3 linked regions of the Danio rerio genome follow. The protein of the gene in region 3 purifies or fractionates together with the protein of the main gene of each other region. This does not show direct contact. Links are inferred from orthologs where the notes say so. Each region holds a gene or a part of one and is shown on either strand. Other genes may lie near its edges. The genes, in order: polr2k, cdk19 and med19a.

Region 1 (3,757 bases), on a different chromosome or scaffold from region 3:
TCAATTAGCAAAGGGGAACTCAACTTAGTTTAATTTTATTTTGAACAACAATATAAAACGTCCAAATTTATAAGTTGGGAGACCTAAAAATGTGAGAATGTACAAAAGCGCTGCTAATAGGAAGTCTTATTTGTTGTTTATTATCTATTGTATAACTGTAATGTTACTGACGGAACCATTTTGATTACAATACAATCATTCTAGACATTCAACATAAAAACAAAACATGAATATCTTTCTGAGATGTCTTTTGGGGATAGTTTCTGAATATTGCTGCCCTCAATAGTTACAATGCATACACCTGTTGATAACTATGGAATATTAAATAATTTAAATATGTTATTACATTTCATAAACCGTTTTAATTACTTGTGCTTACACTTGATTTAGTTATTAATGGCCAACATGTGTCCTGTGGATTTGAATTACCTTCAAATGCAAAGTATATCTATCTTTTGCTCTAAAAATGAACATTAGTTTTAAAAAATCATAATAATATTTAAGGAATTAGCAGTATTTCAGTATTATTGAAACAGTAACAAAACATTTCAGTATATCAAAAAGATAAACAGCTATCAATAATTAGTAACTCTATTAATATGAATAAATGACAATTGGCTGGATCAGCTTGTTCTGACATATACCTTCGTTATAAACACATTATAAATGGGAATGTTGATATGTATTAAACACATTGCCGAGAAACAGAAACTGAAAGGGTGAGGCGGGATTACGACTGCCAGTAAAAAAAAAACACATTACAAACATAAATACTAACAGTGTACAGACTATCTGGTTATACCTATAAAACATATAATAGTATATAATACTGACAGTAAAGTTTTGCAAACTTACCCGAGAGCTGAACGTTTAACGTTACTGGCAGTTTTTGCAGCTGCGACTCACTAACGTTACTTCCTGCTCTGAGACCGTCAACAACACCGACAAATCAAGTGACAATGTACGAAACACATTTCACTCATACAAAAAATCAAATAATAATTATTCATTAATAATAACACATTTCTGTTAGTAAATAAATGTGTTTAGACTGTTTCACAATTTCAGGACAGGTTTAATAACAGCGTTACACATGAATTAATATAAACCATTAGCGTTAAACAAAAAAGTACACAAATAATACGTCTTCATGGTTACGTACGTCTGTCACTAAATGAATGTTTAAAAACGTCGCCGCGAAGTTTTTCTCCGCCATCTGAAATTGCTGGCAGTAATAAAATAAAAGTCCCAGATGAACCTGTAAGTCTCTGCGTAAAATGGTAATGTCCTCCCTCCTGGCGGCGTATGACGAGATTGGTTCAATTCTTGCCAACCAATAGCATTGTTCGTTACTGTGATGTGATGTCGCTTGTGCGCATGCGTGAACGAAAAACGTTTCGAAGCAAACAGAGAGCTCACGCGTGAAAGGTAGCTAATGCTTTGAATGTTTACATTTCGTACTCGTTTGTACACTGATAAATGACAGGATGAATGATATGTGCGGGGTTTTATTGCAATTTTAATATGATGAATTACGTGTCTTGTTGGGTTTATAATGGAAGAACGTGTTTGTGCATAGTGCAGCATCTCTTAAATGTGCTCTTACGATAGGTTTAGGTCAAATAATGTGTAATATTCTAATGAATTTATTCAATTTAGACTATATAATCATGTTTGTGTGTTTGCTTTAAGCCATGGATTCTCAGAAAGACATTCAGCCCCCCAAACAACAGCCAATGATCTACATTTGTGGAGGTGATTGCTCTTTTGATTGTATTTATGTTTATAATCTATATGTATATTGATCTATTAGAAGGTTTATGTATTGATTATATTTTTGTAATCAGTCATTTCTTTCTTAATGCTAAACAATCAAGATGTTCACAATCTAGTCTGTTTTTGAGCTTGAAATTTTGTGTGTGTGTGTGTGTGTGTGTGTGTGTTTGTTTCAGAGTGTCACACAGAAAACGAGATCAAGGCCAGAGACCCCATCAGATGCAGAGAGTGTGGTTACAGGATCATGTACAAAAAGAGGACCAAAAGATGTATCCTTTATCAACTAAACCAATGCTTTGTGGTAGGCCTGGTTGATACGACAAAAAAAGTTGATTAAATTAATTTCACGCTATAATCCTCTCATTTGCTAATAATGAGATATGTCATGATATAGTAACTAGGGATACAACAATACAGTTAGCCTTAGTAAGAGGTTAAGGAGAAAAAACTTATTGCAATACTTCTTTATTTTACTTGATAGCCAAGAAAAGTACACTAGTTTGTAGTTTAATGTATAATAAAAGTAAATTAACTGAAATCTCACAGCTGCTGGTAGCTTATGTACAAACTGGGGAACACGTATATTCCTACATTTTGAAAATACACATACATGTGAAAAATAATTTCAAATAAACATATTTGATGTAATTTTAAGCTCTGGATGTTTATTAGTTTTACATTTTCTAAATGCATATTGTGTCACTGTTTTGGAGCACACTAGCTAATAGGATTGGGCGATGTTGACCAATTTGCCATCATATGATGTATAATGTGAAACAAAGTAATGGACGATAACATCGTTATTGTAGGCGTCAGTGAATTAATTATTAATTCATAACGGATTAATTATTTGTAGCCCATGTTTCAACTACCTGACCCACAAGGTCTTTGTTTTACCCATAACCAAATCAAAAATAAATAAAGTTGCACACAAATTACCACCTTTCAATCACTTTTTCCATTGGACTCTGGCATGAATAGGCCAATAGAGTGATCTGTGTCTTTACAATGACATTGACAAACTTGGTTGGGAAAAAAAGGTGCACAACCAACCAACTGTATCTGAGGTTTTCACTAAAATTACTAAGTATAAGCATGAAAGCGAAACACCGAAGCAGTGTACTGATGCTGTGACACATTACCTGATAGATTCAAAAGACCAAAATGTCTGAAGCTCTGATACGAATGTATACTGCAGGCATAACAGTGTGCATTTTCATCGATATCGAGTGGAAGGAAGGCTTTTCAGAAATGCTAGATGAAACGCCTGTGTGGACGTAGGTCGCTTTTGTTCTAAAATGCCATTTTAAAACTAAGATGTATTAAGGCTGATTTATACTTCTGGGTCAAACACCGGCGTATGCTACGGCGCTGACGCATAGCCCTTCGCCGTGGCCATCGCCGTCACTGACGTGCACCTCTCAAAAAATGTAACTACACATCGCAACAACGCGTAGCGCAAGCTCTGTGATTGGTCGGCTTGGTAGCGCTGACGAGTCTGGGCGGGACCGAGAGCTGCGCGAATGGCGCGACGCCGCGCGAGCGATTGTTTACAAGTGTGGAGTCCCGTGATGGAGCTCCGGATGGAAAGTTTTGTTTTGTGTTTACCTTATAGTTAAAGTTGTTGCACGTCCGCCGGTTCCTGCCTTAAAATGAGCGAGTTTGAGCCACTTGTACATCCCAGAAGTGTTCAGGAAATGCAAAAAAGTAGCGAAGAAACTCAACACAGAGGAACATTTACACCTCACTGCCAACTAGCGTTTCGGAAGTGTTAATGCAAACCGACAGAGACAGCGCGCAGAAGTATAAATGCACAGCCACGCGCGTTGCCTGCGCCGTGGGTTACGCCGGTCACCTGACGCAGAAGTATGAATCAGGCTTTAGTGTAAACGGGGCCTAAGTGTGTATTTTTCACAAACGGATTGCTGCTACGGTGGGGTGGAGGTTAGCGATGCCAGCTCAGCATCGATATGTCTATCGA
Region 2 (3,757 bases), on a different chromosome or scaffold from region 3:
CGTACCGGGGTTCAGAAGGAAAAAACAGTGTGAACACAAACCAGCTTAAGGCTGTTTATACTTCTGCATCAAGCGCACGCGTATGCTACAGCACAGCCTACGCGCTGACGCATAGCCCAACGCCGTGGCCATCGCTGACACGCACCTCTCAAAAAATGGAACTACACATCGCAACGACATGTAGCGCAAGCTCTGGGATTGGTTAGCTTGGAATCGCTGACAAGTGTGGGCGGGACCGAGAGCTGTGCGAGGCCGATGAAGCGATTGTTTACAAGTGTGGAGTCCCGTGATGGAGCTCCGGATGAAAGGTTTTGCTTTGTGTTTACCTTCCCTAGTAGCAAAGAATTCTGGCCCAGATTTGGCATAAAGCTGGCACAGCAGGCATTCATCCGGCACTGGCATACAGCATGTGGGCCAAACATGGCCCGGGTTTGGCAGAGGCGGCACACAAGATTTGGGCCAGATGAAAAACGTAGTATTTGGCCCAGATTTAAAAATTTGATAAGTGGGCCATGTGAGTTTGGCCAGTTTTGACCCACATTTAAAATACACTAAAATCATTTTTTAGTAAAGAAAATAAATTCTACCAATCAGGTCACTTTGAGAAAAAGCGTGCCCATAGTGTGCCTAAAGCGCATCACTCCATGGGTTTATCAATTTCATTGCAATCGTGACACACCAACCTATCTGGCCCAGTTCAGGCCCAGTTATGAGTTATTAACTTGGCTGAGACTTGGCCCAGATATGGTCCGTGTTTGGCCCTTGTCTGGAAGCCAGATTTGGTCCAGTCATGTACCGTAATTCACTGCGGCATGTGGGCCAAGCAAAACCTGATTGTGTGGGCCACAGCTGGGCCAGAGAAACTTTGCTATGTGGGTTATGATTAAAGTTGTTGCATGTCCGCCGGTTCCTGCCTCAAAATAAGCGAGTTTGAGCGTTCAGAAAAAACAAAACGCCAGCGAATAAACTCAACACAGAGGAACATTAACACCTCATTGCCGACAAGCTTTTCGGAAGTGTTATTGCAGAACATCAGAAATAGCGCGCAGAAGTATGAATGCACGGCTACGCGCGTTGCATGCGCCGTGGGTCACGCCGATCACTTGACGCAGAAGTATAAACCAGGCTGTACTCTCGTACTTATCAGGGGTTGCAGCAGCGGAATGAACCACCACAGAAAATAATATCACACAGATATTTAAAAAATTGGAGATGCGGTGGCGCAGTAGGTTGTGCTACTTACTGCATCGCCACCACATTTTCATCTTTTCACAAAGAAACTTTAGTCCTGTTTCGAATCTGCTGCTATGCTTTAAATTTAAAGTGACAGTAACCAAAACAGCATGATTTGGATCAAAGCCTAAAAGGGTCCATTTCAGAGAGATATAAAACATTATCTGTGTGGTATTTTGAGCTGAAACTTCACACACACACTCTAGAGACATAAGAGACTTATTTTACATCTTGTGTAAAGTGTCATAAGAGGACCCCTTTATTGAGCACACATTGACTCCTGTATAAATAAGAGCACACACACACACACACACACTGCAAGCACGTGAACTCGATCACAGATGCTCCATAAACTCCAGCACGCAAGAGCTTGTGCACTTATGAAGAAGTGGGCAGCTGTTATACTGCGTAAATGAGTATGTCAACTCGTGCACAGGTGAGCCTCTGAATTCCAGCACATGTAAACATGACATCTTCTCATCCGAGCACACAAACTCACAGTGGACTTCAAACGCATGCAACTTCTGGACAGAGGAACTGATTTGCAGTGAACTCCTGCACACAAGAGTGAAACATGCATCACGCTGGCTGGTTTGGGGGTGGACCGTTTGAAGTGCGTCCATGAAAACAAAAACAATCACACACACACACACGCAGGCTACAGAAAACAGCGCAATTCCCCCGACACATATGAAGCTCCTGCACACCCAGAGACAGCAGAAGCGCGTGCAGTGAGTGAAACGCGTCAATCAAACGCGTGTCTCTTACCCGTCTTTACGCTTCGCTTTATAAACATGCCCGTATGTGCCGCGACCCACTTTACAACCTTCATATTCAAACAGATCTTCCACTCTCTCCCTCTCGGCGGCGAGCTTCGTTTTGAAGTCGTAGTCCATTTTAACCCATAAATATTTCTTAATTTACAAGAAAATAAAATATTAATTATTACATGCATTAATTAAATGATCCGATCGTTTTTATTACCCCACCATTTCCTTGTTTGGGATTTTGGTCGGCTCCGCTTAACGGTCACGTGCTCGGTGACGTATTTTATTGTGGCGGGTTGCATTGTGGGGAGCGTAGTGCCGTTTGATGGAGCGCCAGCTCGAGTTGACGGCGGCAGGACATCTGAAAAACTACAGCGAACAAATCCTCCTTTCGTCTTTCCACTCTGATTCAAAACTAACATTTCTGAACGTTAGCGCTTGGAGTGTTTGCACAATGGCAGAAAAAAAGCTTATAATAACTAAACATAATTAATAAAATGTGTGGAATACATAACCTAACAGTTTTTTTCTTTTTCAAAGAGAGTGCTAGATAAATGGGAGTCAATTATTTGTGCAGTGGCTCAGCGTTATTCACCTTATTCTCAGCTGACGAGCGGGCGCTGCCATTTGAATCTTTTTGTCTCGCGACTTCCGGTCACATTCACTTCCATTCATTTTTTGACGTTAACAACTGCACGTTACGCTGCTTGATGTTGCAATTTAATATTTTCTTATTATATTATGCTACTTGGTCTGTGTAGTCATGCAAACATTTGTTTGTTGAGCAAGTAGTTTGGCCATTTTCTGTCGTTTATTATTCCTAGTCATTTCTCCCATAGGCGACTGAATCGGAAGTTCTAAGACAATCGCGAAAACAGGCGCACTTCCGCATTTTAGAATAAGGTCAATAGCAACGCAAATGTTTGCTCATCTATACAAGGACACACACTCACACACGCGCTACTACAGCGTGAACTCATACTTTTACGCAACATCCCGCTTGACTGATATCCGTTCAACCAATCGCTGTAGACCTGAGGGTGGCTCCCTCGCCGCGATTGGCAACGACGAGAATGACGTCGTCGGGTAGGTAATAAAAGCTCCGCGCAGACTGCCGTTCTGCGCTTACACAGTATGGCCGGCGATATTAGCTAGCACTCGCCTACGGTATTCTCTGTAAAAGGGAAGACGGTAAATACAAACAAAAAAATAAGGCAACTACATCTGGACTGCTCAAGGACTGTAACTAAGCTATTAAGTTATAACCGCCAACGAAGGACTACATAATTTGTGATTCCATCCGACGGTTTATTTTCTGTTGTTGGAGTCTGTTTGTCTCACGATGGAAGAGAGCAGTGCACACTTCTTCGAGGGGACCGAGAAGCTCCTGGAGGTGTGGTTCTCCCGGCAGGACGAAGCCAAAGGAACCGGGGATCTGCGCACAATCCCTAGGTGAGTGAGTCCGTCCGAGCCGCGGGTGCCTCGGGCGGAGCGGGGCTGGATTTCACCGAGCCAGACGCTCCGTTTGGGGCTTAAATCGTGTGTGAAACGCTGTGATAATGTCAGGAGGTCTGGCGGAGTGACATGTGGCGCAGGCTCTGACACCCGTGGCGTGATCAGCACTTCTGGCCGTTTTTGACACCATCCCCCTTTAGACTCATTCATTTCAGCTGTCAGGACTGCAGCTCAACTCCAGCCCCAGCGAGCTGCCCATATTGGCAGTATTAGCTCGTTCACTGCGTGCTGTTAATCACTGC
Region 3 (3,757 bases):
AACACCATCGAGGAGTTTTTTTAGTTGTTATTATCTCTCTCATTACAAATGAACAATGATAGCAAATGTTTAAATGTGGCTTGAAGCATTTTGAGCCAGAGAAAGAGGCCAGTGGCACTTGTAAATCTCAGTTTATATGTGTTTTCCATCAGATTTTTATTTTCACTCTCCGTCTTTTAATCCTGAAGTCTTCTGAAATGGCAATAATTATTTTTTAACATTAATAGATATACATAATTCATATCAAATTCACATTGTTTAGATTACTAGAATGGACACTTTATTTTTCTCCCAGTTAAACAGCCACTTAATGAGTGAGTTTTAGCTACTTGTAGCGTTCAGAAAAAACGAAATACCCATGAAGATACTCGACACAGAGGAACATAACCTACTGCCAGCAAGTGTACGGAAGTGTTATTGCAGAGCAACACAAACAGCATGTATACAGTAGTATAAATGCACGACTACCCGCAAGGCAGGCACCGTGGATCACTGCGATCACGCAGAAGTATAAATCAGCCATTTTAAAAGGGATTTTTGCACAATTGGTCCCCTTTTAAACAAGATGTAGACAGCATATTTTCTAAAGCAATCTAAATGTGTTCTTTGAGCTTCATCTTTATAGTGTTGGTTTGTGTTGCAGCTTCCTGAGCAGTACAGACTGATGCACATACAGCCACCAAAGAAGAAGAGCAAACACAAACACAGACATCATCACCCTCAGGATCCTCTACCGCTAGGTCACTTCAAAAGCTCATGGATTTTCACATTTTATTTCCTCTGTGCACCACATGCATGTTAACTTCCTTTCCCTGTGCAGAAACCCGCACTGACCCCACCAAGAAGAAGAAAAAGAAAGATAATGAACCTGAACGCAGGAAGAAAAAGAAAGACAAGAAGAAAAAAAAGGTGAGCCACTTTGTTGATGCGGCGCAGAATCTTACAAATTTACAATAATTAAAAAGTGTATTGTTGAACAAGGTTGAATGCTACAGGATGTTCCTGTATAAATAATAATGCGTTATTAAAATTTTAAAAATGTATACACATAGGAAGCAGCTTTGCTTTGGTGTAACATCTGAGCAGCCTTGAACAATGCTCTTTATAATTATTTATCATTTTTGCTTCACACAAATATTATTTCAACAGTAAACTGTGTTTATTTTACATTTAAAAGGATGTGTAAGCTTAATGAATGCGCCCTCTTTTACATGAATATTTTACACTAATATAGTTGTGCATATATACTTTAGATTAGTCAGTACTAAAGCTAAGACTGGAACTGATCTAACAAAAAGACTTAACATCACGGTCTAAAAATGAGACCAGCCAAATTAATTAAAGGTGCAGTAGGTGATTGTCTACAGAAACATTTTTTGATGTGCAGGTTGAAAGTCTCTTCACATTCCTATAGTAATGATTAAATTAAATGATCTAAATGTATTTACATGTATTTTTGTATTCTGGGTAAGTCATAAGACTAAAAAATGTTAATTCCCATAATTCTGATAAGTAGCCCAAACTGTCTGTCAACAAATGTAGACTTGTACATCTGCGCTGCTATTCGTGCAAATCTGCCGTTTGTGTGTGCACGTGCGTTCACGTGCACATGAGAGAGAGCGCGACCAGTAAAAACAAATGCTGAAACAAAACTTTATAATCCTGAATCAATATTGAAGTTAGTTTTTATGCTGGAGGAAGAACGAGACCATGGCTGAAGTATTTCTTTTAGACAGGTCATGTTCTGTTTTAAAACTATTAAGTCACACAAAGCTGATGTAGATTCTGTTGTTTCACGGATGTGTTATATGCACGAAAGTGTAATTCCTGCACCCGCCAGCCAACCACTAAGCATACAGTAGTGGCTTTAGGACAAAACGTGGGAGAGAGTGAGACCAACGATCCTTGTATGGATGAAATATTGCACATTATGACAAGTTTTGCTTGCTACACGACTGAAAACATGCTGGATATAATACAGTATTTTGTACTTTACAGTAATAAAGTATTGTAAAGTTTTTCAACTGGCGAATGACAAGAGTTAGTGGGCTGTCTACTGTCATCTTTGCAGTGCGTGTTTGTGATTTCAGGAGGCGTGGCTTTGAAAAATAGGGGTGGGACTGTTTTCTAAGATATTATGCTAACCGGTTAGCATTTTGGCAGATCACCTACTGCACCTTTAATGAGAAACTTTTTGTACAAATTTTCTGTCTCTCTATTCCTGAATGCGTTAGGCGATTTAATTTAATTTGAATAAATATAACAGTTTGATACAACACCAAAATATATTGACGATTCACAGAGAAATTGATTAAAAAAAATAGGAATTTTCCAAAAGGGTTGCAACTCATTTATGCTTTAAACCGTATGCATGTGTGTGTGATTTAATTTTTTTTCTTAAATTTATTTGAATAAAATCATTGTTTTTATCTTTTACTAAAACTAAATAAATTTTCAAACTTACTTTAGACATCTTGCTTCTCAATAAATGTGTCTTGATTTAAGTAACTGATAAGTTATTCACAATAGGAAACAAGACAGTATTTTGCAGTATAACATTTTATAAATAATATTAAAATATAACACATTAGGGCTGCACAACATATTGTTTCAGCATCAATATCACAATGTGATCATTCGCTATAGTCACATCGCACATTTGCATGTGTTTTTGATGCCGCTGATTGTATAAATGATTTTAAAAACATTCAGCTATATGAAATTGTACCATTTGTGACTTTAACAACAATTAATTTTTAATTATTTTTTATTTTTATCATTCAAGTTTTACTTGAATACTGTTAGACTCACACTTTATTTGTATTAAAACACTTTATTTGTATCTTTTTCTTGATTGTATTTATAGATTGTTGTGCATGAAAATACTCGCAACACATGCAAATACAGAAATGCACTGCAAATAGCACAGACCACAATGAAAATGTGCCAGAGGACCCCAAAAATGTTAAAAATAGTAATTATAAGAATCTAATTTTATAAATTATTTCCAAATAGAGACAGTCATCTGGTGAAATTTTATTCATATTGTAAAATATATTGCAGAGATATATTTTTTCCAATATTGCGCATCCCTATAACACAATATTAAATGCTCAATGTTAGTGGCATTCAAAATCAAATCGATGGTCTGCACAGTGTAGAATATGTCCCTAGAATCTACTTGATACCTTAATTATGTTGTAGAATAATTACTTGTTTATTGCTGGGACCTGTCACATTTAAAGTACACCCCATTTAGTCTTGTTAATGCATTTAAAAGGTCTTGGTCTGTTCCCTCTTTTCTTTTAGAATCGACACAGTCCTGATCATCCTGGTGTTACTGGATCTCAACCCAACAGCAACAGCCTGAGATAGAACAGTTGTGTGTGTGCGAGTGTGCTTGTTTGTATGTATGTTTGCACACATGAAGTGATGTTGAACTGTGTTAGAGAATCTGATATGGACCAGTGCGGTTGATTGATGTTTACAAGGGCCAATTGTTGATGATTTTTGACTTCTTTTTCTGGTTATGATGAAAAGCTCAAGGAATAAACTTTGTTATTCTTTATACAGTCTTTAAACACACTCTTTCTTTTTTGTTCACAATAACAGATCATAAAGTGTGCCAAGAAAATATCCCCCACACCATTACACCATCACTAGCCTGAAGTTGTTGATGCCACATTCTGACCATACCATTCGAATGTCACAGCAGAAATCGAGGTTCATCAGACCAGGCATAGTTTTTTCCAGTCTT

The links.
Region 1: the proteins of med19a (region 3) and polr2k purify together in Homo sapiens (affinity purification with mass spectrometry; 3 studies listed by BioGRID and IntAct, with this or other methods). This does not show direct contact. The link is inferred for Danio rerio from reciprocal best matches to the Homo sapiens genes MED19 and POLR2K.
Region 2: the proteins of med19a (region 3) and cdk19 purify together in Homo sapiens (affinity purification with mass spectrometry; 7 studies listed by BioGRID and IntAct, counting the BioPlex papers as one, with this or other methods). This does not show direct contact. The link is inferred for Danio rerio from reciprocal best matches to the Homo sapiens genes MED19 and CDK19.

The regions. Positions count from the first base shown.
Region 1 is NC_133194.1:13,081,021-13,084,777, forward strand, and holds the start of polr2k (DNA-directed RNA polymerases I, II, and III subunit RPABC4), read left to right. Parts: upstream 1-1,348; 5' UTR 1,349-1,428; intron 1,429-1,692; 5' UTR 1,693-1,694; coding exon 1,695-1,755; intron 1,756-1,952; coding exon 1,953-2,045; intron 2,046-3,757. UniProt on the Homo sapiens protein: DNA-dependent RNA polymerase catalyzes the transcription of DNA into RNA using the four ribonucleoside triphosphates as substrates.
Region 2 is NC_133195.1:3,040,234-3,043,990, forward strand, and holds the start of cdk19 (cyclin-dependent kinase 19), read right to left. Parts: upstream 2,258-3,757; 5' UTR 2,130-2,257; coding exon 2,002-2,129; intron 1-2,001. Other genes in the region: amd1 (S-adenosylmethionine decarboxylase proenzyme), read left to right, coding at 3,343-3,452.
Region 3 is NC_133189.1:26,391,238-26,394,994, reverse strand, and holds the end of med19a (mediator of RNA polymerase II transcription subunit 19-A), read left to right. Parts: intron 1-643; coding exon 644-740; intron 741-820; coding exon 821-909; intron 910-3,309; coding exon 3,310-3,375; 3' UTR 3,376-3,568; downstream 3,569-3,757. UniProt on the Homo sapiens protein: Component of the Mediator complex, a coactivator involved in the regulated transcription of nearly all RNA polymerase II-dependent genes.